Struthio camelus: one gene and its partners. The protein of the gene in region 4 interacts with the protein of the main gene of each other region in a pairwise test. Links are inferred from orthologs where the notes say so. Each region holds a gene or a part of one and is shown on either strand. Other genes may lie near its edges. The genes, in order: BOLL, QKI, PSMF1 and RBFOX2.

Region 1 (7,362 bases), on a different chromosome or scaffold from region 4:
GCATTGTGTAAGTACCTGGAAATATAATGACATTCAGAGAATCACATTGTAAAACCTGGAATCAAAGCCATTTTGTCTGATGACCATCAGATGATTTAGGAAATGAAGTAACTCTTTACCTTGTAAGAAGAGCTCTGTAATATGATGGCAGCATAAGCTGATATTAAGTCACGCTTATATCCATTTACCTTTACACTTCCAAAGCAATCAAGGTCTGATTTATACTTTTTTTCTTGCAAGTAATTTTTTTCCCCACTTTTGTTTCATAGTACATATCAATTGTTTACAGTCTTTTCTACTCATTTATTTGTCTGCAGAATTTTACATTCAGTTCAATGAACTATGTAAAATATAATACTATGACAACTGCAAAAGAATATTGAAAAAATATAATTTATCAACGTCAAGTTCAGCATTGATTTTTTGTTTGAATAAAGGAAACATAGTAGAGCAAAACGAGAGGAAAAACCAATCAAGTCTGTCACACTAAGTTAATGTAAATCAGGAGTCTGATGATTTTCTCTTCACCCACCTAATTGGAGACCTATTAAAATTTCCGTGTGACACGCGTCTATGGTGTCTTGTTGAAGGACTATGCTTGTATAATACATAAAGGAATCAGATTTCTCAGTAGACCTATTTAGGTGTTCATATTAATAATCTCATTATCAGATTAAACAAAGGACTCCGTAGTTCAAGAGCAGGAGTATCTGTTGCTACTCAGATAAGAGATGTATCAACATGTACAAACCTGCACTAATTATTTGTAGTATAATTCTTCCATTTGCTAGGGACATTTAGGAAAGGATTGATAATCTTTACAATTTGACTCCTAACAGGCAAATACAGATGCCACCACACTTGGAAGTACTTTTCTGGTTTTGGCTCTTTTAGCAATACCATGTTTTAGCTGTGACAAGAAGTTTGATCAGCAATAGAACTTGTAAGCAGCAGTTTCAAGTAAGTTTCTTCCTCCTTGAGGACATGTAAAATAAAACACATACAGACTCCTTTACAAGTAAAGCATATATTCTGAGCTCTGAAGTGAGACAGAAGGATGCCAGTCTTAAGTACTGCCTCCAATAACCTATGTCATGCTGAGCATTACTTTTGGAAAATAAAACATTTTTAAACGAAGGTATAACATCTAAATAAGTCTTAAAATTTCAAAGAAATCTGGAGATGTCCTGATACATTTTGAGCTAGAAACAATCTATGATGGTGTTAATGTTAATGAATGAGGATGCTTGGGTTACGCAGTCACAATCTACCACCTTGGGGAAACAGTAGGGGGAGAGTAGTCCAGCCTACTGATCGCCAAGTCTTCCGCTCCTCTGAGTCATCCATCACTGAGGGTGGGGAAAATGTGAGACGTGACAGAAATGAGGAAATCAATTCTCAGCAGAGCAGCTGGTCAGTTTGACAGAGCCTTAGGAAACAGGCTGAAGCAGAGCTCGACAGAGATGGCTGCAGAGGCTTTAATAAAGGGGTGGAAAACATCAGTGAAGCAGTCGGATGAGGAAAGGGGGGCACAGACAAGAGGATGAAGGCGAGAGTTTTATTAGGGGATTCAGGCACAAAGTGGGAGGCACAGACAAAGCGCAGAGAGAATGGTAAAAACTGAGGCGAGGACAGAAGGAGTTACTGCTCCTTTAGAAGGGAGATGTGCAGAACTAGAGTGAGAATGGGGATGGTGTGGGAAAAGAGCCTCTAGGATGAGAAAGTCCTATCCGAGAAATACACACACACCCATTTGAATGAATAGAAAACTTCCCGGAAATGAGTCATTTCCTTCAGCATTTTTCACATGGCACTGCCCACAACTTTTTTGTTCAATTGTGCTATCTAGATGACCACCGTAATAGGCTTCTAAAGACTATAGCTACTCTCTTAGAAGGTTTCCTCAACCTCCTTGAGCATCTAGAGCTCTCCTTTTTTTGGTTGTTCTGGATAAGGCTCACAGTGTAGAGAATCTATTCACAAGCTTGTAAGAGAAATTGCTGCATACATCTTTATAAATTACAGATTTTTTTCATACAATTGTATCCTATGCAACAGAGACAAAAGTCAATCTTTTAGTAACATCCTATGAGACGTTTTTATGAAATTGAGAGCAGGAAGGAACTAATCTTTCATCAGGTGCAGCCTGGCTCCCCCTGTCTAATAAAAATGTATTAATGCTCATATTCCCATGAAAGGATGTTAAGATGCTGGTAAGTAAGCTAGCATTATTATCTGCATTTTACGGATAAGCAATAGAAGCAAAGGAGGTGGCGTGTCTTCTCCAAGGTCAAGCCATCCATCAGTGAAACAGTAGTCTGTTACCAGGCCCATGTATTACTCATAAAATCATCCTTGACTTTTTGTGCTTTTTCCTCCTTTCCCCTCCCAAATCGTTTCCCCCCCCTCTTTTGCTCTCTCCTTTATCTTTCCATGCTTAACCTCCGACTTTCTCTCGTCTCTCTGATCCTATAAAGAAAGGACAAAAGGTGAGAGCCTACAGGAACCAGCACAGCGGGACTCTTGTCTTTGTCCAGCGCTGGCTTTTAATTTGTGGGAGAGAGCCAGGGGGAGAGAGCACTTCATGCTGCTTGTGTTGCTGACATGCAGAGTCAGGAAAAGCTGGCACACGCCTATCTGCCTTTGAGAATGGCTTCCTAAGTCGGGACGCTCGGCCCTTAACCAGGCAGCCGCGTCGCGCCACAGCAGCCTCGCCACTTTTGTGGTCATATTTCAGTCCCGTGTGCGTGGCAACATATTTTGCCAGCTCTGCTTGTAATATTATTAAATTTGTGGATTTTCGGGTTTTCAGATTTAAAAGTATCAGAATAAAAAATAGATCAATCATCTTCCTCATTTACTTGCGAAACTCCTATTTTTGTCACAATTGCCTCATTTTAAATGCAAGATGTCCAAGATTTAGGCTTTTAACCCGAGGAGGAGGTGTAAGGTGGAAGCTCCAGCAATTAAAACCGTGCAAAAGACACTTTCATGCCTCCGAATGTTTCTGTGTTCTTTCAGCTGTTCTGACTTTGAATTCCCCAACTCCCAATATGAAGCACATGAAAGACGTGGCCCGTTCTGCCACGCAGATCATTAAAACGTGGTGCTGTTCTTCGGATAAGCTTTGCTGCTGTGTGATGCATGTTCATGAAAGTAGGTCAGTGAATACAACTCAGCAGAACTCTGTATTTTAAAAACAACCATTATTTCTTTCTAAGAACCTCACCAGCTGGGCTGAAGTTGCCTTTATTTTTATATGGGTTTCTCAGAGAGCTAAAAAGATCACTACTAAGAGTTAAGCGGTAACCTGTTACCGACGCAGATTTAGTAGTTTTTAAGTAATTCGCCGTGATAACGATAACGCTGCGGGAAGCGGCAGAAGCCGCAGCAGCACCAGAGAGGCAAGACACCGCGCAGGACCGCAGCAGCACCGACCGCCCGGCAGCTCTTTAAGCTCAAGAGGGAGGTCCCTGCTGTAAAGCTACCCGGGAAGCACTGCCAGTCTTAGGCTGATGCGGAGCTGCTCCGGCCCAAGGGCGGTTTAGCAGCGGAGCTATTTTCAGGGCACCTGGCATGTGCGAGCGGGACGAAGCGCGCAGGCGGCAGTTGGGGACGCGGCGGCAGGGGCACCGCGGCCCCCCCGGCCCCGGGAGGCGCCGAGGCGGCCGCCCGGCCGCTGACTGACAGCGCCAGCAGGTGCCGGCCATGGCGGGGGGCGCCCGGCCGCGGCGGGGCAGCGGCTGCCCGGTCGCCGCGATAGGGCCGGGGCGCGGGGGCGGGGGGGGGCGCGGGGCGGTGCCGGGCGCGGGGCCCGGCGGGGGCAGCCGGCGGCTGCGGCGGGGCGGGGAGGGGGGGAACCCCGCGGGGGCGGCTGGGTCCCTCCCGGGTCACTTTGCGCCGGGCTTCGTCCCTCAACCCTGGTATCAACGCGCGCCTGGGCCCGCTCGCCCCTCAGGGCCGCCCCCTAGTAGCCGGGGCGCCGGCGGTTGGGCTGCTCGCTGGCCCCCGCCCCCCGCCCGCTTCCCGGGCCCGCCCGATCGCCTCCCGCCGCCCTTCCCCCGCGCTGCGCCGCCGCCGCCCGCCGAGGAGCGAGACGCGTGCCGGCAACGTGCGGCGGGGCCGCGGGGCCGCGCCCGGACGCAGATGGAGCCCGACGGCACGGTGACGAGCGGGCCGAGGCGGGCGCGGGGTAGCGAGGGCGGCCGGGCCGGGCCGGGGGGAGCCGCTCCTGCGGGAGGGGAGGGGAGCGCGGCGCGGCGCGGCGGGGCTGGGCAGGGCGGCGCCGCGGCCCGTCCCTCGCCCTGAGGGGCCGGGGCGAGGGCGGCCCTGGGCACGGCCCGGCCGGGCACGGCTTTCCCGCCAAAAGCGCGCGCGGGGGGAGGGGCAGCGCGCGCCGCCCCCGCGCCTGAGGGCGGTTGGTGCCGCCTCAGAGGAGCCGGGCGCGGGCGGCCTCGGCCCCCCTCGGGGCTGCCCGTCCGCCCGCCCGTCCGCCCCCCCGTGCCCTAAACGTGCGCCCGACGGCGGCTGTGCTGCGGTGGCGCCCGGCACAGCCCTTGGGAAGGCCGTTTTGTGGGAGAGGGCGGCGGCTGTCGCCTGTAACGGCTTGGGGAGCGCAGCCGGCCTGTGCCGCAGGGAGCTGAGCGCTCCCGCGCGTTTCCTGCAGCCCGAGAGCCGCCGCCGCCGGCGCCTCGCGTTGAGATGCGGCTAGCTGGGGTGTCCCAGCGGAGCCGCTGTCCTTTCGGCACGTACATAGCTGCAGGAGCAACACAGTAAATACCTGGGAGACGCCGATGACTTAACTTTCGACGTTGTAAGACGGAGGCGGTAAAGAGAAGGAGGAGTTTTATCGGAAGGTGGAAGCAGTCCCCTGGTTTTGCGTGGTTTCGTGTAGCGGCTTTCTGACCGTGGATGTATTCAGCATGAAAATAAAAACTTGTCAGTGCTGGCAAAGAACAGTTGCCAAACGTACTAAGTCAGGCATAGCAGATCTGTTGGATTTGTGTATATACAGTGTTTTAAAAGTCAGATGATGAAAACTTAAGTGAATTTTAAAAAAAGCATAAATGCACGAATGATTAGGCAAGTGATAGGACCTTAGCATAAAGATCTCTTTTATCCTGTTTTCTTACTGCTACAATGGCATTAAGGCAAGGAAACACCGCTTAAGCGAATTGTCAAAATGCAAGTTTCAGTGTTTTTTAAAAAGTCTTTCTTATACTGTATAAGAGAGTTCATAATTGATGTGTTTAATTACTCATTTCTTTTTTTTTTATGTGAGGCACTTAAAATTCTTAAGACTTGTGTAGGAAAGTGAAATGGGAGATCTTTGAGATAAGGAACACGTTTTTTGTTGTGGTGTCAAGTATTACTTTCGTAGTTAGATTTTAATAATGTATTTCTAAGCACAGTCTCCAGATAATTACAGAAATAAAATGGTGTGTCCATTTTAACAGATGAAGAAAGTAACCTGCTTCATCGTCCTTCTAAGGTTGCTCTCTACAGAAGACTTTCTTTCTTCTAAAGCTTTCAGGACTGTGGGTCTAAGATTGTGTCACATGCATGTGCCAAGAGCATCCAGTGCAGCCAAAACAAGGTCCAGAAAGGGCTGAGGAGAGCTCTCCCTGTTTCTCATTACTAAAGCAGTTTATGAACAGAGAGAGTTGGTGGCAAGCAGAGGCCAGGACGCTGTATTTTCCACATTACCACTATCTACTTGAGACTGGTGAATGTAATATTAGTATATAACAGATGACAACTTCAATTTCGATAATTTTTTTGGGTTTTCTTTCCTTTCTGAACTTTGCAGGAGATGGAAAAGTCATAGGAAAGACTAATCTCAGTACGGATAGTGTGAGGCACACAGTGCTCCCATAACAAGGGGCTGAGGATAATAATAGTGAAGTTGTGTCTGCACACCACAGGTGATGGAAATGACTTTCTGAGGAGTATTGCCCTTTTGATACGAGTAGACCGCCAGGATTTCAGTTCAAGAGAGGAAGTTCATGCAGCTTTAAAGTATTTATAATTTTATGTTATGATGACGGTTATCTTACTGAATTTGGACCTGGTTGTACGAGATCCCTCTCTTGCAAGGTACCGTTGTGACGACCAAGATTACGTGTAGAAAGGAATAGTCTACATTAAAATGTAAAATGCTTTTTTCTTCGGGTTAGACGCTTACTACTGACGTTACTGAGTTTTGTTCATACTAGTGCAAAAAATGCAAAATCACTTGACCCTCAGTGAACGGTACATGTTTATCACGTAAGTAATACGTGATAATTGCTAATAATTGTGAGTTATTTACACAGATGTACCAGAGCCACAGGCACTTGGAAGTTGGAAGAATACTTCAGAGGGAGGTATTCTGTGTGTGCCCTGTTCTTCTTTTTTTCTGTAGCCATTTCATTTTTCACAAGTGTCAAAATCCAGTGGACTGCGTGGGCATGGGGCTTTGGTTTGACCCAGTATGGTTGCTCTAATGTAGGATTTACGTTATCTGGAAGGATTATGTTTAAAAGGATTATGTTACGTCCCTTATTATGGGATTCAGATTGAATGTAATTTTTGCGCAGAGAAAGATGATCACTCCTGAACAGAACACTGTGTGCTGTTTAACATGTTAAACAGATTTCAGAACGTAAGCCAAATTTTGTTTAAAAATATTAGAATTTTTGGATGAGGCCTTTCAGTTATCCTTTCTTGAATCTGTAGATGCTGGGAATAATTTACAGTAGTAGGTCAGCTTTGCCTAGTTTGTGTCAGGTTATTTTGTGAATGATTGGCCCTACCTGTGAAGATTGATAAGCTGTAGTATCAGAGCCTTTGCTGGTACGCAGCAACAGATTTGGAGCCGCTGTAGTCCACGGTTCGTGGTATCTCCTTCTATCTAGGTGTATATATATATTGCTGTTTACGTTATTTCTTCTTAACGCTCGTTAACTGCTGAATATCCATCAAATTTAGTCGTACCACAGTGTATTTAATTAGCTGAGTGTTGGGACAAGATTTGTGTCATCTAAAAACATCACAGCTAGTCACAGATGGGAGAGGGAATAGTATAAGTCATTATCGTTGCCTAAGAATCCAAAGAGCAGTGCAATTTAGGGAAGTACAAGATTTTTAAATCCTTGGATAGATGAAATAGGCCTTCAAAATACAACACCCACCAGTTCGAAGCTGCTTACTACATCAGCTGTGTTTTTCACATTGAATCGGTCATCTTGTCACCAGAGCCTCAGCTAGACTGGTAGAAGAGGCTAAAACATTTGTTGTATTAGCATATTGGTATACTTTAGCCTCTGTACGTGTTGCAGACTCCTTTATTTAAATGAGTATTAAACCAGAGGGTAGATGAGA
Region 2 (7,691 bases), on a different chromosome or scaffold from region 4:
TTGAAGCAATTTACTAGATTTGCATGAAACATTTTTTTCAACATTCCAAAAAGTTTTCTGACTCCACAATACTTCCACCCAATTGCCAACGTAAACAGGAAAAGCAAAAAAGCTTAAAGGGATAGCAGAATTCTTTCTGAAGCTATTTAGAAATACAGATAATTTTTTTTTTTTAAGAAGGGGTGAAGAATAGCTTCAGCACTACTAACTCTTAAAAGAGCGTCTTCTGCAAGAGTCTCCACATCCCTCATTTTTGGATTCTAATACTTCACAAAACAGAGATTTCCAGAGCTTCCTGAATTTAAACAATCTCAAAAGATGCAAGGCTCTAGACATTCCTTTTTTCCCCTGTGTCCTTTCCTTATCTGGGACGTTTCTCTTCCTTTTGTTCTTTGACAAAATAAGTTTGAGGCCTTCTCTGGCTAAATACATAAACTTCAAGAGATTTAGGAATTAAAAAAAAATTAAAATGTATGAAAAGCTCATTTGTGCTAAAAAGTCTTCTTGGTCAAGTTTCTTCTTGATGTTTATTATAAACCTTGCTAATTATTCCAAATATGTCATGTTCTCCATCACCATAGAAAACATGTTCTAAATAGCAGAACACACAGATTTGAAAAGTAAAATTTATAGTGAATTTACAGCTTATCAAATTCTTTAAAAGACGGACTACGGGAAGCTATATATGGGGAGATTCTATTTTTATGTTAATATTCTCTACTTGTTTTTTTTTTTTAAAAAAAACTCCTCTATCATTTATTTCAGAAAGTCGAGTTTTCTCAATATGCTATTTTCTGTTGTACTCCAGTTGCTATCTCATTTTTACAGTCTTTGGAGAGGGCGGGGAGTTGTTCTATCAAATATAACCAGCTCTTTCATCTTCCGAGGTCAACAACTTCCCAAAGTTCGTTTAACCAGGAGGAATACGGCTACAAGCAAAAATCCTAACTCAAAATCTCGAAACTCAGTATTTCATGCTAAGATTCTCAAGAAGTTGAAGCTGCATAAGTAACTTCTGTTTTTATTCGGTAGCTTTATAAAATTTGTAGAGTTAAACAGTTCTCACTTTCCGGAAAGCCAAGGTTTAGATGGTAGGGAAGGAAAATCTTTTAAAAAGAAAGGCAAATCTGTGAACCCAAACAAAGCTAATCCAATATACCAAGAAGAAATGGGTCGCCTTATTTTCAACACAGTAGTCTGCCACTGTAGGGGAAAACGTATGGGACGCATGAAGTTTCTAGCTTTTAACGTATTTCAAAACGTAGCCATATATTTGTAAAGACGCACCCTTAAAAGAAGCTATTAAAAAAAAAGTGGGGGGGGGGGCGCCAACCCACATGAGCGGCCTCTCATCACTTCGAAGCAGGAATTGGGTGCGGGGCTGCAGACGGCGCCGGGGTTAGAGGCAGCAGTGGACGTTTGGCAGCAGCAGAGGAGGCAATTTCGTAATTTCTTTTTTTCACTAAAGTCATACGTAGGAGTCTTTCAAGTTAGTTTCTTTAAAAGGTAAGAATAGCCGACAGTCGAATTCGCTCGCTTCTCTTGCAATATAGGAAAATTGTAATTAGTTTGTGGCCAGTTTGGGGTGGGGTAGTGCTGGAGCTGAAGAAAGAGCTCGGCCCCCTCGGCCTTAGTCATTCAAGTTCAAGCAGCTTCCAGAACAGCCAAATCTCGAAACCAAACACCCTCCCAACCCCCTTGCTCCAGGCCCTCCGAGCGAGTCGGCTAACACTCCCACAAAACGCACCGCACAGGACCCTTCTCTTCTCCCAATACTTTCCGCCGTGAACGGGGAGCCACGCAGCGTTGCAAACAACGCTTTCCCCTCCTCCCCTACCTTCCCCCAAAGCACATTCCTGAGCTCCTCTCCTCGTCTCTACTCGCTCCCTCCCCTCCATGTGGTAGTCACCCTTCCCCCGGTTTTAGGAGACAGCGCGGAAAAAAAAACAACCAACAACAACAACAAAAAAAAAAAAACAGGGACCTGTACACTCAGGGCTCCCTCTTCCCCTCCCACTCTCTCGCCAAGTCCCCCAATACCACAAGCCAGGAATCAGGGCGGGGAGATCCCACACTTCCCCTTTGTTTTAAGGGCTCAGGCGAGGGCCGAGAACGAGCGATGAACACCAGCGAGAGAAAGAGAGAGGGAGAGGCAAACAGGCCCCAAACTCCCCACGGCCACCCCGGGCCTGTCGGGGCAGGGGCGAGGGGGCAGAGCGGGAGCCCGAGAGCAGCCTGGAGGCCCAGGCAAGGGGTGGGGGAGGCAAGGCAGGGCGGCGGAGCGGGAGAGAGGGGGCAGGGAAGCGCTTTTACCTTCGTCCAGCAGCCTCTCGAGGTGGTTGAAGATCCCACAGAAGTTGGGGAGGCTGCTCATCAGCTTCTTGTCGTTCATGAGCTGCATCAGGTAATCGGGGCTCGGCTTCGGCTTCTCCTTGGTTTCCATTTCCCCAACCATATTCCAAACGCGCGCAGAGACGGCGAGCGCCCGCACCAGCTCCGCCGAGCAACGCGACCGCGGCACGGGGCGCCCGGCTGGATCCGAGCGGGCAGGGAGGTGGTGGGGGAGGGGAGGGGGCGGGGAGGGGAGCTTCCCCGAGGAAGGAGGAGAAGGAGGAGGATTCAAATCCGGAGACAAACGCAAACCGGCCGCCGAGTCCAAGGGACCGAAAAAAAGAGGAAACTCGACAGAAACCCCCTCGCGGGCTGCGCCCTCCTCCCCGGGCACAAGGACCCGCCGCCGCCTCTTCTCGGTGCTGCTGCCGCCGCCGGGGCCGCTTCCCTGCTCCGTGCGCCCTCGGCCGGCGCAGTCCTCGATGTGTTCCCCCCCTCCTCCTCCTCCTCCCGCGCACACACACACGCTGAGCCCGGCTTCTCTCCTCGGCGCTGCCCGCTGTCTCCGCGGCGGGGGAGGGAGGAGGGGGGCCGAGCGGGGCGGGCGGGCGCTGCTGGCGAGGCTGCCGCTTCCGAGGAGCCGCCGCCGGTGTTTCTTCGCTGCTGCTGCTGTTGCCGCCGCCGCTGCTGCTGTTGCCGCCGCGCTGCGCCTGGTGTGTCCTCTCCGCCTCCCGCCGGCCCGCCCGCCCTCCCGCCGCCGCCGCCGCCGCCGCCTGTGGCTGGTGAGTGTCAGCCCCGCCGCCGCCTCCTCACTTCTCCTCAGTTCGCTCCGGAGTTCGCTTCAGTTCAGGCTGCGCTGGCAGCGGCAGCAGCAGCGGCGGCAGGAGGAGGGGAGGGGGCAGGGCCCGCGGGGGTGGGCACACGCCGAGGGGCGGGCGCAGGGGCGGGGCGGCCGTTAAGCGGCGGTGGCAGCGCCGCTTGGCGGAGCCAACCGTCGCTCCCTTTCCGCTCCGAGCCCCTTGGGCGGCGGCGGCGGCCGCAGCTCGGCGGGGGGAGGGGCGGCGAGCCGCGGGCCCGATGCGGAGGAGGGGGGGTATCTCTCCCCCGGCCCCGCCCCTCCGAGCGTGTGCGCGCGGATAGGTGGCGCAAGCGCGCGGGCGCGGCGCGGAGCGTCGCGTGCGGCTCCCGCGCCCCTCCCCTCCCCCCCCGCCTCCCGGCTGGCTCCGTAGAAACACGCGCGCGCACAGAAACTCTTCTAAACAAAGTCCTGTTACTTCACCGATTCCGCGCGGGGGGGGGGGGGGGGGGGGGGGGAACTGGGTCACGTGGGTACCCAAGGGGCGGGGACGGGCCGCGCCGAGACGCGCGTGCGCCTTTCGTTTACAACGCGGCTGCCGCCTCGCGCGGCAGAGGGGAAACGAGCTGGGCGGGGGCGGGGAGGGGCGGCTGACTGCGTCGCGCATGCGCCCGCGGGCTGTGGGCGGTGCGCGTGGCTGCGCGGCACGAGGAGCAATTTCTAATCCTTAAAGCGGCCGTGGGGGCAGGAGGAGAAAGCGGCGCGGGGCTGAGGTACTGGGGGCCGCGGCCGGGTTGGAGGGAGCTCCCTGGCAGTAGGCCTTGCGGGACGGCGCTGTGACCAGCCCCCGGGGGAAGGCAGAGGAGAAGGGGGGGGGTGTAGCGCGCCCCCTCCCCCCAGCCACCCCGCTGGGACAGGTGGCGTGTGCCGCTCTCCGCGCGCTGCGGGAGCGGTTTAACGGCCCCGTTCGAACGGCGCGGAGCGGACCGTTGCGGGAGGCGCTGGCTGGCTGGCTGCGCTGGCGCGGGGCGAAGGAGGAAGACAGGCGGTGCCGGTCTAGCCTTCCAGACGCACGCCCCCTCCCCCCCCCCCCGCGAGCCCGACCGACGCCGGAGAAGCGGCGGCCCCCGCACCCGGCGGGTGCTGCTGCGTTGTGCCGCGTGCCAACGGCACCATCCGCCCGCCTCGGCGCTCCGCGGCCGCCAGCAGCGCCCGCGGAGGCTGGGCCCGGCTCGGTCCTCGGCAGCGCGGACCACCGTGCAGGTCCCCGGCGCGGCACTGCCCCGGCGCCCGAGCCTTACCGGCAGGGAGTTGGACGCGAATCACTCGAAGCTTGTTTGGGGGGTTTGGGTGGGAGACGTGATGGGAGAAGCAGAGTCTGGCAGCCAGAATCAAAATTAACGTGCTCCACTGTAGCCGCAGAGGCAAAGCAGCTTGACGCGATTGTTTGTATGTGTTCCTGGTCGTCGTCGCCTTCCCCATGCTGCTACTTGATGTTCTTGTTTGATTTTTATTATTTAGGATATCATCAGAAGACCTTGATGCAATTATAAGTAATTTGGAAGAACTTATATTATAAAACTGGATAAAATATTTTCCTTTCACACTTCTTCTAGTTCACTGAAATCACGCAGTCATTGTTCATGTGCCTTGCCGTGCAGTGGCCCCTGCTGTACGCGTATATATGTCTAGATACTGCTTGTTGTAGGAGTATATGAGTCTAGATATTGCTTGAAGTTGATACAGAATTCATATGTAATGTCATATGTACCGCACAGTATTTGAAGAAAATTGAAAAACTGAGTTCATCATAAGTACTTCTTCCAAAACTAAAAAGAAGCACAACCGCATTGTCTTCTTGACAAGTGTGCAGTTTTATTGGGTGTTGTCAAGCACTGCTGTTGTACTTTTTCTAAAAGATACGCATTGACAAAAATTTAGAGAAAGTGTAGCTCTCGTATTAGTAAAACTGCCTTAGATTATTGCGTCCTTTCTGTTGCATGTTGGATTCTTCTGTTGTAAACATTTAGAACTCTTTAAAACAAGAGAATTTTTTGGATTTATGCTATGTAATATTTATTTACTTATATAAGATAAGTCATATTTATTGGTTGCATCATTCAAAAAACACAACCCCTGTATACTCAAGTAAAAACACCTACTAGTTTTATTACCAAGGAGAGAGTAACAATGTTATGAGCTGGTTTTTTCTTCAGTTTAGATTCTTAGTCCATGAACAGCATGCCTGAAGTACGCTGCAGTATGGCTATGGATCACGAAACAATACCCCATTTAATAATGAAGATACAATTGCTTTTTTTCCCCCCCTCTTGCTTTAAAGTTGTGCCTAAAGCCAGAACACACCTTATAGGCCTAACAAAACTGTCATCCCTGCATGTCATCATTGCAGATCAGTCTGAAAGATGATGCATTTGCTTGTAGCCATTTATTTACTTGTTTTTCACCCAGTGAGTGAAAGCTCTTTATAACCCTAAGAAAACTTGTTATTAAATCCTTCAATTTGATTAAGGATATCACTCAGCCAGCAGTCCTTCATGATAAAATGAGATGAACTTAGATAATATCAGAATAATTGTTCTGGAGTGCCAATTCTCATAGTAAAAATAGCAAATGGAGACTTTTTTCCAGCAGATTTAGTGCAGCTGTTCCCAGTGCTCCCTGCACATAAGGTGCTTACAGTGTGTGAATATGCACAGAGAAAACAAGCACATAATTTAAGGTAAGAAATGCTAGCAAAAGTTATTGAATGGTAACTGCCAGTTGTTTTACTTACCAATAGAAACAAAACAGCTCATCCCTAAGCTATGTTACATTATTTAGCGGGGAATAAGATGATGCACACCAGCAGTTACTGAGGAATAGCTATTGCCTTGCAAAATTCAAGCTCTAGTTTACTCTGTGTTAATCTGATTTGTCTTCTCGGTCTAAATAGTGCAAAAATTGAGTCAAATCTATGTGCTGAAACTGCCAATATAATTAGGCATAACTGACTTAGGAAAAATTCTCATCCTTCATCTTTCCACAAATATTTTTAAGACTGTGAATTTTTAATTCATTGGGAAGATACCTTCAGAGAAGCTAAATGTTTTGGCAATAAGTATTGCAGATAGCTCACCATTAGTTTTAAATAAGCACATCAGTGTGACATCTTACTTTATCACGTATACAGTAAAAACAAAGTTATCTAAAAGTCTTTCCAAGCATACCTTCTCATGTTCCTCTCTGTCTCTTCGTTCCTGCACTTCCATGCCCCAGAAAGGGGATTTTAAGAGTGCGTGGAAGACGCAGGTAGAAGTAGTTCTGGTTAAAGGGCTGTGAAACTCAGAGCTCCCATGAAGACTGACGTGCCTGGAGCCTGATCTACAGAGGAGCTAGAAATGCTGTTGCACTGTACTGGATTTTGTTACTTTCCCATGAGGGGAAAAATATGTGGACTTTTTTTGTTTTTGTAACCAGATCCTATTTATAGTTCTGTAGATAACAACCCAAAACTTTAAATTCTGTGGGGACACAAGCAGAAATACAGATCTTTAACCCCTGTGCTTTCATCTAGGTAGCCCTTCCTGTACCATTCAAGCTGCAGTATTCTCCAGCAGTTTCTCTTTTAAGGGGTGAAGTTTTATTGCGTTAATCTAATCTTGAAATAAGAAAAACTGTGATAATTCCAGCAGCAGCCTCTGCGTATTACAGTAAAGCCCTTGCACTGATCATAAAAAGCAAACTCAATTACTGTTATAACATTCATATCTGATAGCAGCTTGGGAAATAGGAGAGCTGAAGGCTGATGACTACTGGGAAACATACTCTTTCAGTTAATGTTGGCTGTTGCTTCCACTGTTTCTGTTGGTTGTGTCTTCCAGCCTATAAGCCTACTAGTCTGTAATCTCTTCTACGTGCTAACAGAGGCACTAGACCAAGTCATAGGCATTTGCAGCTGGACATCATCAGCTTTCTGCAAATACTATCTGAAACAGTAAGGTAACAGTACCTCCCTTCTTTAGGGAAAGAAGCAATTCTTCAATTACCCCTTACGGTCACTTAAGGAAAAAGACCACTTTAGGTGCGTTTGTCATCCAGTATTGACTTGTTTGTGGTATATAAAACACTGCATTTGGGATGCAGCAGTTAGACATGGCCACTACCAGGTGGACATTGAATCTTCATTGATCTCTGGAAGGTGATTAACATGTGAATGGAGTAAGATCTAGAGCCAGACTAAAAAGCTCAAGAAATCGACTGTAGTGATACTGTGATGCGTCCGAAAGTCTCTTTAAAAAACTCTTTCATTTGCCTGTGTTATTAAGATGTCAGATAACGTCTCAAACAAAAGCCATAGTACTGCATGGTTCAAAGTAATAAGCAAAGGGCCTAGTATTCATAGCCAAAAAAGGGGAAGAGTTTAAAAAACAAAACAAAAACACCTGAAAGTCTGTGTTGCAGTCCTCGAGTTCATTACATATTAATGTTAAAGCTTACCTGTCTATTCCGCATGCCTGGTGTATCCTGGCTGTAGAAATGGGCGCTTAATCCAGCTGGAGTGGTG
Region 3 (7,829 bases), on a different chromosome or scaffold from region 4:
GCCGGCCCTGCCAGCGCCGCGAGGGGCCAGGAGCCTGGCGTGCCCGGGGCCGCGGCGCACCCGAGCCTGGCTCGGGGATGGGCACGTGGCTGCCCCGCCACCGCGCCTGCCTCCGAGGAATTCGTGCCTCCCTCCTCTCACACAGAGCTGCAAGCCGTTTTGACCAGGGGAAGGGAAAATAAAGTAAGTCACACCCCAAATATTAGGTCTCTTGCAAAAACCCTGCCTGCCCGAAGGAATCCTCAAGCTGGTCCAAGGGTGGGAGAGGAAGGATCCCAGCCTTCAGCTCCAATTAGAAGATCTTCCCCTGACAAAACAAAACAGCCAGCAAGTTACTTAACTTCTGTGTTGACTAGGCTGGCTTTACCGTGCTCCTGCCTTATAGCCTGGAGTCTGGCTTGGCACACGGACGCAACGTATGGAGGGACAGCTGGACCACGAGATAAGGCCGCAGGGGGACAAGCGGTGGGACAGCAGCTCATGGGGATGGGTGGGAGGGTGGATAAACTGGCGGTTGGGTGGACAGGGGTGGTAGTAAGGTGGATGGAAAAACTCAAGCTCGATAAGCACTTCGCATAACTTTGTGTACAAACTCCTGTGCCCTGTCTTCTCACTCAGGGACCGCTATTTCCTAGAATTTGCAGTTCCTAATTATTCGCACACTCGTGGACCTTCCAGCAGGCGAGGGTGAATCCCCGCTAACCACTCCAGCTGTGCCCAGGCGGGTCTCTAGCTTGCATGGTGCATTTTCAGTTCTGTGATAAGATGGGCCAGGATTGAGGATCAGCTTTCTGGAGGAAAGACTCATGATTTCCGCCTCAGGAGAGGACACTCGAACGAAGCCACCAGGAGTCGGGGGGGGGGCGGGGGGCATCTGGTACACCACTCGGCACACAGGGGAAGGCTGTGCCTGAAAAGAGAAATGTGGATGCCATTAAAGCCTGCAAACCACCACTGCTGCCCATCAGAAATGAGCCACGGGATGGGCGGACGGAAATTCTGCCTGTTGTGAATCACGAGCCCAGTACTGGAAAGGCTCCGGCTCAGGCATTTCCTGCCATTATCATTGAACCCTGATCAGATGCTTCTTTTACTAAGCAGACATCTCCGTAGGCTACATTGCCCAAGCCACCCCACGGGAGGGCTTTCGCCCTGTCCAACGCGCGGGGGAGCCCCGAGTCCCCCGCCAGCCCTGCGCCCAGTGAGACCTGCTCCACCTCGCTGGCATCTCTGCGGCTATTTGCACCGGCCCTGGCTCTGCACCTATCCAAGTGCTGTCTGGGTGCCCATCTCCCATTGAGGCCACCGAGGTCTCGGGACAGGTTGCCCTCCGTCCCCTCGTCGCACCAGCGATCCTGACCCAGCGGTTTCCCAAGCGGAGCGGGAGCCTCCCGGCATCGCCTCCTTCCTGCCGCACCTTCCCCGGCAGCGGTGCCCGGCGAGGGGCTGCGGGGCTGACGGCCGTGCCACGTCCCCAGGCTGTACGCAGCCTACTGCTGCGGGACTCCCGCCCACCTTCCCACCCAAGAAACACGGCATGTTGGCCACGCTCCGCTGCCTGCTTACACACGAGCAAAGAAGCTACCAGGAAGGTCTGGAGTCCTGCACACATGCGATGAAACCCGGGCCCTGTTGAAATCAGTGGCAACTTTCCTACTGATTTCCACACGAGCAGAATTTCACACTTGGCTCCCAAGCCCTGTCCCTCTTCCGCGGAGCCAGCACTGACGGGTGAGATTAGCAAGAGGTGTAATGTTTCCGCAGCCACCGGGGAGATGACTCATGTGAAGGGCAACGCTCAAGGAGCTCCTTGCGAGGAAGGCCCTACGGTCTGCGGTCAATTGTTCTGCTTCAATGACTTCTTGAGAGGGAAATGGAAAGAGTGGCCTGTGCGTTAATTAATAAATGCATAATGAAGTCAAGATGAGTCAGAGCATCCCAAAGGAGTTGGAGCTCAGCTGCTGCTCAGCAGCAGATCACGGCTTTCCCCAGCACTGGGCTGCTTCATCCAAGGGATTGCTCCAGCCTCACATCCTGCCACTGGCATCGATAGGGTCCCAGCAGTGGTGGCAGCTCCTGGCCTCATGCTGGGCAGAGGAGCCACAGAGAAAACCGCCTCGGATCCACAATCAGTTCAGAAAAAATAAGTCCCTGACTACGTTTCAATGGCAACTTTAACAAGAACTGAAGTGTTGTAAATAACGTGGCCCAGAGAGAGGAGCTGGGGAAGGAATGGAAATAACCCTGGTAATAGCAGTTCAGCCTTTTGTTCCCCCCGGGACAGGTGCCTCAGGGAAGCCGGAGCAAACACCAAATATAAGAGGGCATTTGAATGCATACGGCACTATTCTTTTGTCTTTTTCTTAACTTTCCAGCAAATGCTTTGGTCACGGGCTGACGCTTGGTTAGGAAGAGCCTGGGCTGCAGGAAAGCACGGGGAAGCAGGCAGATCTCAACCAAGCGAGACTCCCAGGCGCACGGCTGGAACGCGAGGCCGCTTTGGAGACCCCGCGACCACGCTGCACAGCCAAGCTGGGGTGATGGCACGGGGAAATTACTGAGCGAGCCCTTCCACATACGCAGTCTCCAGATCCGCAGCCACAAGGGAGCAAGTGTGCACGCAGATGAGTCCCACACATACAGATTTTTCTTGTACATGAAGAAGTACTAAATGTCTCAGAATAAAAAAACAAGCCTTGTGATGTCAAAGAGGGAACGCATCAGCCCCGGGCTGCAGATAACCCCAATTCACTGGAGCGGAAGGACTGGAGCTGCATCGCCGGTCATATCCTGGCAGGTCACTAGAAAACCTGATGCGGCAGCAATATTATATTCTTCCCTGCGTTGCAGGTGGAACACGATGTCCCTCCCAGCCCCGGCAGATACGGCCCGCCCTGCCCTCGGCTGGGTGGTTACATTTTCTTTCAAGAAACTCTTTGGTTCCCCTTTAACGCTCCGAGGAGACGAGGGAAAACAGGTCAATCCTGCACAGCAGAAACCAGTGGCAAGGAAAGGCGCCGAGAAAAATAAATCGTATCAAACGATGTGCCGCCGGCGGAGCTACCGAGGGAGGACGTCGGAGCAGCCCCGCGGAGCGGCAGGTAAAGGATGCCGAAGGGGTTTCTGCGCCAACGGGCAGGTAGCAAGAGAGACGTGGGGGACGGACGGGAGTTATCAGACGGGCCCCGCGGCGAGGCTCTGGCAGGGATCCGCGCGCTGCCGGCCCCGCGGCGGCCACGGCAGGAAGCCCCACGTAACGCCCGGTTGGGAAACCGGCCCCGACGCGGGCCGCCCCGGGGACGGGACGGGACGGGACGGGGGGAGCCCGGCCCCTCGGGGGGCAGCAGGCTCCCCAGCGCTGCCGACGGCCGGAGCCACCCGAGGTTTTGCGCGAGGGACGAGGGCCCTCTAGCGAGTGCGCGTCTCCCCGCCGGAGCGACGGCTGCTCCCGGGGGGCCCCGAAAGGCTGTGCCGAGGCCGGGGCGCCCCGAGCTCCCCGCAGGCGCCCGTGCGGGGCTCCATCCGGGGGCTGCCCCCCCCCCCACCCGCACTGGGGAGCTTCTGTGGCCCCCGCCCCAACGCCGGGACCTGGCTGGGGGGGGGGGGCTGCCGGCTGCCCCCCCCCAACTGCGGGGGGCCAGGCCACGGGCTGGGCACCCACAGTCCAGCCCCAAAGCCTGGCCCCACACCTGACCCGGGAGCCCACAGCCTGGCCCCAAAACTGAGCCCAACCCCACACCCCAGCTCAGCCCTACAGCATAGCCCCACAAGTAAGCCTAGACCCCACAGCCCAGCCTGGCCCCCCCGGCCCAGCTCGGCCCCACAGCCCAGCCTGGCCCTACAGTCCAGCCCCCCAGCCCAGCCCAGCCCCTCGGCCCAGCTCAGCCCCATAGCCAAGCCTGGCCCAGCCTGGCCGCACAGCCCAGCCTAGCCCCATAGCGCAGCCTGGCCCCACAGCCCAGCCTCCTGGCCCAGCTCAGCCCCACAGCCCAGCCTGGCCCCACAGCCCAGCCCCACAGCCCAGCCCAGCCCAGCCCCATGGCCAAACTCAGCCCCACAGCCCCGGCCTGGCCCCACAGCCCAGCCCCCTGGCCCAGCCCAGCCCCATGGCCAAACTCAGCCCCACAGCCCCGGCCTGGCCCCACAGCCCAGCCCCCTGGCCCAGCCCAGCCCCATGGCCAAACTCAGCCCCACAGCCCCGGCCTGGCCCCACAGCCCAGCCCCCTGGCCCAGCTCAGCCCCATGGCCAAACTCAGCCCCATAGCCCAGCCCCCTGGCCCAGCCCGGCCCCCCAGGCCCAGCCCCTAGGCCTCGTCCGGCCCCATAGTGTAGCCCAGCCCGGCCCCCCAGCCCGGCCCCTCGGCCCCGCCTGGCCCCATAGCGCAGCGCAGCCCGGCCCCCCAGGCCCGGGCCCCCGCCCCCGTCTGACCCCATAGCGCAGCCCGGCCCCTCGGCCCCGTCCGGGCCCACAGCGCAGCGCAGCGCAGCCCGGCCCCTCGGCCCCGCCTGGCCCCATAGCGCGGCCCGGCCCGGCCCCTCGGCCCCGCCTGGCCCCATAGCGCGGCCCGGCCCGGCCCCCCGGGCTCCCCGCTGCTGGCCCCGCCCCGCCCGGCCGGGCCGGTCGCTGCCGCGGGCCCGGCGGCTGCTGGCTGCGGGCGGCGCCATGGCCGGGCTGGAGCCGCTCTACGCCTGGGCGCGGGCCGCCATCTCCCGCCCGCAGGACGCGCTGCTCTGCGGCATCCACTGGGAGCTGGTGCGGCACGGCTACCGCTGCCTCGGCGCCGGCGACCAGGTACCGCCCGGCCCGGCCCGGCCCGGCCCGGCCCGGCCGCCGCGCAGGCCCCGCCGGCCCCGGCCTTTCCCAGCGCCGCTCGCCGCCGCCGCGCCCGGGGCCTGCCGGGGCCTGCGCCGCCCTGCGCGGCCGCGGGCCGTCCGGGGGGGGGGTCCCGCTGGTCCGGGGGGGGGTCCCGCTGGTCCGGGGGGGGGCCTAGTGCTGGAGGGGGGGCCCGGTGTGGGGAGAGACCCGATCCTCGAGGGACCCGGTGCTGGGGGGGATCTCGGTGATCGGGGGGGGGTTGGACCCGGTGCTGGGGGGGATCTCGGTGCTCGGGGGGGGGGGTCCCGGTGCTGGGGGGGGGGTTGGACCCGGTGCTGGGGGGGATCTCGGTGCTCGGGGGGGGGGTCCCGGTGCTGGGGGGGGGGGTTGGACCCGGTGCTGGTGGGGATCTCGGTGCTCAGGGGGGGTCCCGGTGCTAGGGGGGGGGGTTGGACCCGGTGCTGGGGGGGGGTCCCGGTGCTGGGGGGGGTTGGACCCGGTGCTGGGGGGGATCTCGGTGCTCGGGGGCGGGGGGGTCCCGGTGCTCGGGGGGGGGGTCCCGGTGCTGGGGGGGGGTTGGACCCGGTGCTGGGGGGGGGTCTCGGTGCTCGGGGGGGGGGTCTCGGTGCTGGGGGGGGTTGGACCCGGTGCTGGGGGGGATCTCGGTGCTCGGGGGGGGGGTCCCGGTGCTGGGGGGGGTTGGACCCGGTGCTGGGGGGGATCTCGGTGCTCGGGGGGGGGGTCCCAGTGCTGTGGGGGGGTTGGACCCGGTGCTGGGGGGGATCTCGGTGCTCGGGGGGGGTCTCGGTGCTGGGGGGGGGGTTGGACCCGGTGCTGGGGGGGATCTCGGTGCTCCGGGGGAGGGTCCCGGTGTTAGGGGGGGAGGGGGTGGACCCGGTGCTGGGGGGGGGGGGTCCCGGTGCTGGGGGGGGGTTGGACCCGGTGCTGGGGGGGATCTCGGTGCTCGAGGGGGGGGGTCCCGGTGCCGGGGAGGGTTGGACCTGGTGCTGGCGGGGATCTCGGTGCTCCGCAGGGGGGGTCCCGGTGCTCGGGGGGGCATCCCGGTGGTCCGAGGTGGGGGTCCCAGTGCTGGAGGGAGGGCCCGGTGTGGAGAGAGACCCGATGCTCCCGGGTCCCGATGCTCCCGGGCGGGGGGGTCTAGGTGTTGGGGGAGGGCCCGGTGTTCGTAGGGTCCCGGTGCTGCGGGGGGATCCCGGTGATCGGAGGGACCCAGTGCTGAAGGGGGGGCTCTAGTGCTGGGGGGAGTCCTGGTGTGCAGAGAGACCCAGTGCTGGGGGGATCCTGGTGCTGGGGGAGTCCCCACGCTCGGGAGGTGCTCGAGGGTCCTGGTGCTCGGGGGGGATCCCAGTGCTTGGGGGGTCCCCATGCTCGGGAGGAGCTCCTGGTGCTGGGGGGGGTCCTGGTGCTGGGGGGGGGTCCCGGTGTGCAGAGAGACCTGGTGCTCGAGGGTCCTGGTGCTCGGGGTGGAGGGGTCTCCAGTGCTGGAGGTTCCTGGTGCTGGGGGGGAGGTCCTGGTGCTGGGGGGGTCCCAGTGCAGTGCTCCCAAGAGGAGTCTGCAGTGCGGTGGGGTCTCTGGGTTGGGGGGCTGGTGTGGTGCTGGGAGGGGGGGGTCCAAGCCCCTGACTGGTGCGGGACTGGGGATAGGCAGTGGTTGGGGTGCAGGGTGCTGTCCCAGCCAAGAAACACCTGGGTGCTGGGGAGGGGGCAGCCCGCAGCAATGCCCCCCGGCAGTGACCGCCCTGGGGCTGGCACAAACGGGGCAACAGTTCCCTGGGCAGCTCTGTCCCACGCTGGGGGGGGCCGAGAGGTGTTGGTCAGCGAAGAACATCGTCCCCTCCTCTGCGTCTTCCTAGCTGGCAAAGGGTGGTTGTGTCCCTCCCGTTGCAGCCCAGGGGTCCCGTGGGGCAGTTGGGCCCTGCTCCTGCTGTCGAACTCTGGAAGGCAGGGACAGATCCCTGCAGGAGATGTGGATCTCCTCCCAGATCTCTCCACACAGCCAGGACAAGTTTTCTTGGCCCTGCAGCAATTTGGTCTGGTGGTCAGGGTCTCAGCAGCCTATCTGTCTTCCTGTAGCCAGGTCCCGATGAAAGGAAGTCAGAATTGCTGCCAACCGGCTGGCAGGCCAACAAGGAGCTGTACACACTGCGGTACAAGTCCACGGATGATTCCCGTGAGCTGCTGCTGAAGGCGATCATGGTGGAAGACAGCATGATCCTCAATGTCATGGTGAGCATCAGGGCTGGTCCTTGCCGGCATTGTGGCCCTCCAGGTGCAGCGGTCACGTTCATCCAAAATGCCCTGGGTGCAAAGAACAGCAGGGCCCATTTTTAAAATGTTTTGCTTCTACTTGTTAGACCTTGAAGCAGCATTTGTTCCTCATTTGTCCCGACTGTGGAGTTTGCATGGGGCAGACTCTGGCTGTAAAGCAATAAGTTATAGCCTGCAAACCTGCCCGTGCGGTAGCACATGTGACTGCATCAGCACAGGGAGGCGGTTTGCTTTGCACGCTCTGGCCCAGTAGCTGCCCCTTTTGTGTCCCTTTATCAGGTCAGGATGTATTTCTAGATCGTTTGCCCTGTCCCCACTGAGCATCTGCCCAGGGATTCTTTGCCTTGTGCCATGGCCCCAGGCTGCACCACAGGATTTCTGTCTTTGACCCTTTACGGCCCAGACTGGGGTAGCCAGTAGGGAGAGCCTGGCTGGCACTGGAGTTTGTGCGCTCTGGGGAATTCAGGCACTGCACAGTGATGTGGGCAGAAAGCAGGCGAGCCCCGTTGCTTGTGCATCCCGAGACCTTGCCTGCGGTCACACCTGCTCCCTCCTTCATTCCTGGTTCTGCCTTGCTGCTGACTCCATGTTTCGCCTGTCCTTTGCAGGACCGCAGCTCTCAGAAGGTGGCAGATGTGACCTTGACGGTGGCCGATTACATCAACCCAGAGCACCTGGATGATTTCCACAAGTAATCTCCATCCCTAGCATTTTAGGCAGGACA
Region 4 (8,375 bases):
TAAACTGTGCTCATATCCTGAACCATCAGGATACTTCAGGGCTGCACACAGAAGAAACTGCAGTGAGTATGGCAACGCAGGATTCCTCGTAATCGGCCTAGAAACACGAGGTCATGGAGTTTACACAGCAATACCCCGTGGCTCTGGAAGAGGAAGTAGAAAATTGACAGGATCTGCAGGAAAAACAAGGTACAGCAGTTGCTGATGTTAGGAATAACTTCCAGAAAGCCTCTGGTACATGCGAGGAAAAAAGAATTATTTATGTATTTGTATCTCTCTCTCTCTTTCTCTCTCTCTCTTTCTCAAAGAATAGGCTCTTAATTACTTTTGTAAGCACTACTTAAGTTAAACATGGACAATTTACTAAAAAGAAGTAATAAGATACTTCAACAGATTATACTATCTGAACAGAAATCCTCATGAACGGCAACCTTATGATAAGTTTTGACTTTTGGTTAAAAGAATATAGACTTTTTAAATTATTAAAAAACACATCTTCCTAGCTAAGAAATTATTTGTAAGATTGGCATCATATTTAGTATTTTGCACTTACAACTATGAAAAGAGTCTCCAAACAAACACATCACTCTCTTTAAGCCTAAAAAATGTTAGAGTGAAACATCTGGCAAGAAAAAAAAAAATTTATAGCAAAACTTAGAGAAAAGATTTATATCATACTAAGAATACTAAACAACTAGGATATGGAGCTCCTACTCTGAAGAATAGGCATATGGAATAAACTTAATTTTAAAAATGAATTCTACTAAATGCATTTCTCCAACTATTTTTCCCTCAGTACTGCTAGAACCATAACTGTTTGCCGGCTTACAATATGGAAAACCACAAACAATTCAACTCTCTGCTCAGATCCATAATTAATCTTTACTACTAGTAACAGCATTATGCATTGTTGTGCGTACACGGTGATAGTCCCATGGGTAAATGCTCTAACCTCACTATTTTGTACTATTCATTGAACAGATAGCAAAATGCTTTCCTCATTTAAATCTAAAGGGGAGCCTTTTCTGTACTTACAAATTGTACTAGTTTACACAAATATCAAATTTTAAGACGGTTAGTTAAACCAGTTCAAGTCCCTTTGCGGGCAATTTTCAAATGATTTGCCACTGGCTTACATCAATATTTAACCACTAATTGTAGTTGAACTGACACATCTCACATAGCTACCCAGGACCTATGCCTCCGACCAACTCCTAAGACCTAGAAAAATTCCCTTTCACTGGGTTGATACATTCATTCATAATTCTCTAACTATACACAACGCACAAGCATTTCTTCAATATTGAGCATCTTTGCCTTGTAATTATGCACATTGTCTGAGTCATACTTTACACCTATGTGTGGGAGAAGATACTATTTCAAGGAGTAAAAGAGCATAGCGTGCTTCTCACTGGGCCGTATGGGAGCATGAGACACAGCATTCAGGTGTGAAGCTCCAACCTATGTTTAGCTCTCAACATCAGACTGGCTGAAAAAGCAGTTCTGTGCGGTGTAGAGACCACCATGAAAGGCTAAACATCAAACAGAAGTACAAACAAAACCCTCCTGCTGTAAGGCGTTTAAAAAAAAAGAGTCTTGAGTGTGCAATGTGGGGACAGCCTAGAAAATAAAAAGGGAAAATAGTTGGTCAGCAATTAGCATCTAGATCAGAAGAGAAACACATTACAGAGGACAGAATTCTCTCCGGTGAACAGGATAGACCAGCCCAAGCAAAAGTGAGAACAGAAATAACTTTAGTTGAATAAATCACACCATCTTCAAAGAACTCTAACATATCTGTTGCAAGAAACAGAAGCAAAAAAGCACCAACTGAACTGCCATAATTAAATCACACATAACATACAGACAACAGAAAATAGAAATATCTTTAACTCCCTATACCCCCCCCACCCAAATGCAAAAGCAAATGCATCTGGAAAAGTAAAGACCAATCCTTCAGTGATGATCAAAATGTGTAAGGAACAGAAGACAGGAACTTAATCTCTTATCCAAAGTCATCATTCTCTTTCCCAAACTGGAAGACTCTCTCACATGATGTCCTAAGACCCCTTTCTCTGTTCCCAAGAAGCACCTGAAATTATTCCTTATCATTTACAGACAAAGAATCAAAAGAGAATGGATAAAGCATCATTGGTCTTTAACATGCTCCATGTTACGCATGTACCGCGCGTTGAATGTTTTCTTTCGCCACTCCTTTCCACAGCCTCTCAAGGCAGAGCCATCAGTACTTTTGCAGAATCTAGAGCCACGGAGGGAAATGCAATGACAGGAGCACTGAAGGCCTATCTAGCATCAAACAGGACCATCCCCTCAGAAATGAAAACCGTACATTGCAATAACACATGCTCAGCTGAATTCGTAAAACTCACGTAGATCTCTGTCTATGCCAGAGAAGGCATCTGATAAGAGACCTGATCCTCCTCGTTAATTCACGTTATCCCTTGTGTTATTCGACACCTCTACTCCATACGCTAAATATCCCACCGCAACATGCTTTGTACTATACTTCCAACGAGCATCAGCTAGCCAACATGCACGCTTTCTCACTCAACTGGAAAAATTACGGGTAAGGAGGTAGCAAATTAAATCCATAACAAATAACTCATCCCTGGTCTGGGACAACAGAGGCACAGAGGAGTGTCTGGTCACTCAGATTAAGACACTTATGAGATGTGGCAGACAGAAATATGCTAAAGGAGAGCAATTCCTTTAAAGGAGAAGAGCGGCAAGAGATAGCAGCGGTTCTACAGGATTTATTTTGTCTCTTTAGGCGCTATTATAGTTCTCAAGAATCAGGAAGGGGCTTCCCTAGGAAGAAAGCACAGGCGTAGCTTGCGCAGAGCGTTCTTTTTAGGGCAACGGACAAACTGCAAGAAATGATAAAATTAAGATAAAATTAAGATAAAATTAAGATAAAATTAAGATAAAATTAAGATAAAATTAAGATAAAATTAAGATAAAATAATACATATAATTAAGAAACAAGCCAGTCCAAATCCTGCCCATCGTTCCTAGCCGCCAGCAGGGGCGGAGAGCCGGAGCGAGGGGCAGGGATGTCCCCCTCCCCCCCCGCCCGGGGGCGCCCCCCCGCCATTGTATTTCCCAGCGCCGACAAACCCACCGCGTGTGTGTGTGCGTGTCGGTGTGTGTGCGTGTGCGTGTCGCTGTGTCCGCGCCAGGGCCGCCCCGGGCAGCCCGCTTTCCCTCCCGCTACCGGCCCGGCCCGCTACCTGCATGCCGCCACCGTCGGCCTCCCCCTCCGTCCGCAGCCTCTTGCTGTGGCCGCCCTCGGCGCCGTCCCCGCCGGGCATGGGCTGCTCCAGCTCCGGCTCCCGCTTCACGCCGCGGGCGGCCCCGCCGCCGCCGCCGGCCAGGAGCTGCGGCTGCTGCTGCTGCTGCTGTTGCTGCTGCTGCTGCTGCTGCGGGGGCTGGCCGCCCTCCGCCATCCGCGCCGCCGGAGCCCCGGCCGCCCCCCCGCCGCCCCGCCGCGATCGCCCCGCTCTGTCACCACGACGCCCGGCCCCGCCAGCGGCGACGGCGGCGGAGGAGGCGGAGGAGGAGGAGGAGGCGGGCGAGCGCCGGCCCCGCTACCACAGCTCCGGGCGCGGCGGGCTCGGACCCACCGGAGCGGCTCGGTCACGGGCTCGGCGGCGGCCGGGGAGGGGCCGAAGCCCCTCGGCAATCTCCGGAAACGGCGGCCGAGGCGCCGAAGCAGCGCGACCCTCGCTCGGCAACCTTCGGCGACGGGCGGGGGCGGGGCCTCGGGGTGGGGCGGGGCCAGCGCGGGCCGCAGGGCGCCCGGCCGCCGCCGCCGCCGCCGCCGCCGCCGCCGCTATCGCGCCGCACGGGGCGGCGGGGAAATGGCCGCCCGGCGCGGGCCTCCCTCCCCGTCCCCCTCCGCCGCCGCGAAGCCCCCGGTCCTTGCGCGAGCAGCCGGGGCGCCGCGTTGGCCCCAGGCGGTGCCCGCCCTGCGGGGTCGCCGCCTCCGAGGCCCGCCGGCCGCCTGCGAGGCCTGCCCGCGGCCCCTCAGGCCGAGCTGGGGCCTGGCCCGCCGCCTGCCCTCGGTGCCCCGCTCCCCGCCTGCCTTGCGCCTGTCCGCGGGGCGGGCCTTGGCTGCTGCGTCCCTCTGCCCCACTGCGGGGAGGTTTCCGGGCGGTCGCTGACACCCCACAGCGTCCCCCGTTGGCTCCTTCTCTGCCCCTCGCCACCTGCTCCTCTGTAGGACGGGCACGTTTGGGGTTTCAGCAGAGACGAGGCTGTGTAACACCGCGGGGATGGTGCTCTTACACCAATAGATTCTGGTCTGTCTCGTCCCCTGGCCGTGAAGCATATGCTGAGCTGAAAGCAGGTTTTTTTGTCCCGCTGTACAAGTATCTGTGTGGGGAATCATCACAGGGTTTAAGGTGTGCTGCACATAAAAGTGGTTTCATCTTCGCCTGCTCGAAGCCTTTTGTAACGAGGCTGGGCTAGAGATGTTATATTTTGGCTGATAAATCTTGGAGCAGACTGCAGGAGATGCAGGATCCTGTACAGCAGGGCTGCCCGCCTGCTGGAGCAGTTGCGCTGGGGGCAAGGATGCAGATCCCCAGCCCCTCGTGGCAGAGACGTATCCTCAAAGCCCCTACCAAAGGCTCATCCATGTTTCAGGGCTGTTTTTCGGGGAGAGGTTTCCACGGTTACAAGCACAGATTTGCCTGTAGGAGTAGTACTGAGCTAAGGCAAATCTGCAGGTGAGAATTAGTGACCCAATCCCCTGCTTTAGGGGTGTCAGGCTTCTGTAAGGATGCTCTGCCCAACTTGGTACCTGACGGTGCTCCAGCTCAGGGTAGCGTCCTGTCGCTCAGGGCATGCGTCTTTTCTCCTGAATGTTTCCGGGCTTCCTCTGTACGGTTCTGGGAAGCTCACTCTAGGGCACGTCTCACAGTGCTGGTCTCTGATTTCTGCAGAAAGTGGCTGATCTGTTTTTATAATAGCCTCGGTGGGATTCTCCTGCGTTTTTCTACATAACTCCTAACTTGTTTTCCTGCAAATGACTTGCAACCAGATGTAGACATCAGTATTTAAACTTGAAGCCAAAGTTCATCAGCTCTTTTATACTCCTCCGTGTTTTTGATTTTAAGAACCAAATTTTGAATCCTTAGCATGAATGTGAAGTTGATTTTACTGCACAGCTGCTGTCTGGTAGCACCAAGGACAATGTCTGTTCTAGAGAAAGGAGAACACAAGCAGCTTTTGCTATCCTGAAACTAGTTTGGAAGCTTTGGTAACTTGATGGAGAACTAATCTGCAGATCCTAATACAAACATGCAGTTGGTTTTATTATGGCATGGGAATGGGTATTCTTCCTCTGATGGTCAACACTTGAAAAGGAGAAAACCAGGAATGGAGGTGGTCAGCGTATGTCAACACACATGACAAGAAACCCTTCTTGACTTTTCAGATATCACTGTATGTGTTGAAGCCTATGGAACAATTGGATTATCTTGGTGTATCTTTACTCATCTGCTGATCTTCATGAAATGATCGAGCCTTTGATTTTGAATGACAGTTACAATACTTGACTCCAGTCTGCCCATACACCACATTCTTTCTGATCCAAAAATAGTTTTCAAGGCCACGTTAAAAACTATTTTAAGTGGTACGTTTTTGCAACAAGGTGCCAGCTTGTCTCTTCCGGTGACAGGGAAATCTCTTTTTTTCCAAAATGATTACAAATCCCCATGGAGTGGCAGGCACCCGGAGGACAATTACATGTAGTTTTTGTCTGCTCGCCCACCAAGGGTAAACACATGTCTCATTCATCTTGACTGGGTTTGATAAAATGAGCCAGACTGTCAAACAACATTGAATGAACATGTTCACTCCACCCTTGACTTGAAAAGAAGAGAGATTCTCATGATTAGGGTGCTACTCATTCGATGAGAAGCATTTCTGTATTTCTCTTCATCTGCATGCACCTTCCATAACTAGTATTTTACTGGGACATTCTAGATGACTATTACAGATTAAGATCTTGCCTATCAGACACTGCAGAATGCTTCATTTTTAAGGGAGCCAGCCTGAAGAAAAGTTAGCAGTAAACCCTCTGCCATATATGTGTCTGCCTGATATTCCCCTTGAGGAATATCAAAAGAAGGAGTTGTTCAGTGGTGCCCAGGCTCCATTTTTCTCTTTATCTTCCCCTAGTCCCGTTTCCACCAGCTCCTGCCATACACATGTCAAAGTTGCTGCCGGTTTCCCCTCACACCCCATGCTCACATGGCCTGCTCTGCAGAAGAGCGCCCAGGGGAGCCCACAGTGTGTAGGCAGGGCCCCTGGTCAGGCATCTTCAGCTGGCTGTGGTTGGCAGCCTGCAAGCGAAGGAGTCCAGGACAACTGCATAGCACAGAGCACCCTCAGCAATGAAAAAAGCTAAGGCAAGGAAGGTACTGTGCCCTAACCACTGCAGTGACCTGCAGTTATGACTGGTATACTGAGTGCAGTCATCTGCTTTCTGTCATTATTGAAATGATATTTGGTATTATTATTTCTCTAGCTTTTTCCATTTGCACTTAAAAAAGATTAATGATTTAGTCTTCACAATATGCTTGTGGGATAGATACTGTCTCCATTTAACGGAAGGGGTATAAGGCATTCCTGAAGTCACAAAAAAGCTTTTGAGCTGGGACTATGCTGGTAATCCATTGATTTCCTTTCACACAACCCAGCTGCCTTTTAGGTATTTGTATGTGACATCTGAGACATACTAAACAGACATCTGATTCTTCTGTTAACCCTTTCATTGCTGCGCAGCACTCTTGCCTGACTCCTACATGCCATTATTTTATGCACAAGTTTGTGGAGCACTCACCAACGCTTAATCTTTGACAAACCAAAAAGAGGCAGCTATATTAAACATTATCCTTACAGAGGAACGCTCAGAAATTGGTGTGAAGAATATATCTTTCTGAACAAATACACATCATTTTAGACTAAAGTTTTTTTTCTTTTTCTTTTTCCTAGAAAGGCGCCCTCTGAAGGGACTTGAAGGAATATGTTTTGGTGCTCCCATTGGCCTGAAGATCAGGTGGCATCAGGACAACACTGAGTTTGAAAGCTCTGTAGAAGTACAGGGAGTTGAATCTCACTATGGTGCTCTGGTGGAGCAGAGGCAATGACTCACGTAAGCTCTAAGGAACCGGCAGGAAATGAGGCACAAACTCAGCTATTAGTATTTGACCCAATGGCATAGGAATCATTAGGAGACAGTTCAGAGTGAATCTCTTCCCTTCACCGCCACAACAGAGAAGGGTTTCTTGCTGTTTCCATTGTCTGCATACGACGTCTCACCCTGTTGACCTCACCAGCTCCTCTTGCCCGCTCAGCCTCCTGCAGCTTTGCCCCCTCTCCTTCCCAGGGGATTTTATCTCTCTGCTAAACGGGTCAGTGGAGATTTAATAGTTTGCCCAGCCCTGCTCATTTCTGCTGCTTCTATCCTGCCAGCCAAGATCTTGGAGCCAAAGCTCTTCCTCCTGACAGCAATACTCCCACAGGTAGCGAAGAGCAGCTGAGGTAAAGTTTCTGCCTGCACTTTGGTCCAAGTTTCACAGGAAGTGTGATACAGCTTTCCTTAGTGAGAAGCATGGGTAAATATTTCTCCTTGCTTATCTATAGCTGGCTCTTCAGAACTAAGTTTTATTAACAGAAGTTGCCTTTTCTTGTCACAGGTTAGCACACAGCCAAAAATACATAACGTAAGTCAACAAAATTTGAAGTTTTTGTCATCTGACTTAAACTGTCTGTATGAAGGATGCCAGTCCTCAAGCTGTGGCAGGAGGCCAATATTGATATGTTACTCTGACGCAACAGTGCTGGCAGCGGTCAGTCAGCAAGTCGACACCCACAATGCACCTGGTCTTTTGCCAGGGCCACCTCTTGCAGTGAGGACATTGGGCTTCAGCAAACACCATTGAGCACCTCGGCGCTCCAGCGACGTAGCAATGGAGACAGCCAGGAACCACCAAAGAGCTCCTAGCAAAACTTCCCTGTGTAGCCATGCCTTGTTATTTTCCTACCTGCTTCAAGCCTTGCTGAAGTGCTATTTTCATTGCTGCTAATTACCAATAGGCCTGTGCTTCTGTGGGGTATCATCATGTACCAAAGTTGCGTCATTTCAAGTATACCAATCCTGCTAAAGCCGTACGACACCTGCAGTGCAGATGCAGTTATCTGCATATATGCAGTTAGCATAAAGATGCTTTCTGCCTGCACTGCTTATGCCTGTAAGGGCAAGGAATTAAGTAGGTCTTTCAGCACTCCTAATATGAAGGGACCTTATAACTAGTTCTGCAAAGGAACTACAGTCCCCCAAACAT

The links.
Region 1: the proteins of RBFOX2 (region 4) and BOLL interact in binary tests that used the Homo sapiens proteins (3 or more experiments, as listed by UniProt). The two-hybrid records come from large-scale screens. The link is inferred for Struthio camelus from reciprocal best matches to the Homo sapiens genes RBFOX2 and BOLL.
Region 2: the proteins of RBFOX2 (region 4) and QKI interact in binary tests that used the Homo sapiens proteins (3 or more experiments, as listed by UniProt). The link is inferred for Struthio camelus from reciprocal best matches to the Homo sapiens genes RBFOX2 and QKI.
Region 3: the proteins of RBFOX2 (region 4) and PSMF1 interact in a two-hybrid assay, tested with the Homo sapiens proteins (2 studies listed by BioGRID and IntAct). The two-hybrid records come from large-scale screens. The link is inferred for Struthio camelus from reciprocal best matches to the Homo sapiens genes RBFOX2 and PSMF1.

The regions. Positions count from the first base shown.
Region 1 is NC_090947.1:11,693,134-11,700,495, forward strand, and holds the start of BOLL (protein boule-like), read left to right. Parts: upstream 1-4,034; 5' UTR 4,035-4,146; coding exon 4,147-4,164; intron 4,165-4,610; exon of another isoform or gene 4,611-4,968; intron 4,969-7,362. UniProt on the Homo sapiens protein: Probable RNA-binding protein, which may be required during spermatogenesis. May act by binding to the 3'-UTR of mRNAs and regulating their translation.
Region 2 is NC_090944.1:86,806,485-86,814,175, reverse strand, and holds the start of QKI (KH domain-containing RNA-binding protein QKI), read right to left. Parts: upstream 3,136-7,691; 5' UTR 2,456-3,135; coding exon 2,314-2,455; intron 1-2,313. UniProt on the Homo sapiens protein: RNA reader protein, which recognizes and binds specific RNAs, thereby regulating RNA metabolic processes, such as pre-mRNA splicing, circular RNA (circRNA) formation, mRNA export, mRNA stability and/or translation.
Region 3 is NC_090959.1:18,290,659-18,298,487, reverse strand, and holds the start of PSMF1 (proteasome inhibitor PI31 subunit), read left to right. Parts: upstream 1-4,587; 5' UTR 4,588-4,663; coding exon 4,664-4,792; intron 4,793-6,910; coding exon 6,911-7,063; intron 7,064-7,713; coding exon 7,714-7,796; intron 7,797-7,829. UniProt on the Homo sapiens protein: Plays an important role in control of proteasome function. Inhibits the hydrolysis of protein and peptide substrates by the 20S proteasome. Also inhibits the activation of the proteasome by the proteasome regulatory proteins PA700 and PA28.
Region 4 is NC_090942.1:59,494,532-59,502,906, reverse strand, and holds the start of RBFOX2 (RNA binding protein fox-1 homolog 2), read right to left. Parts: upstream 3,483-8,375; 5' UTR 3,468-3,482; coding exon 3,252-3,467; intron 1-3,251. UniProt on the Homo sapiens protein: RNA-binding protein that regulates alternative splicing events by binding to 5'-UGCAUGU-3' elements. Prevents binding of U2AF2 to the 3'-splice site.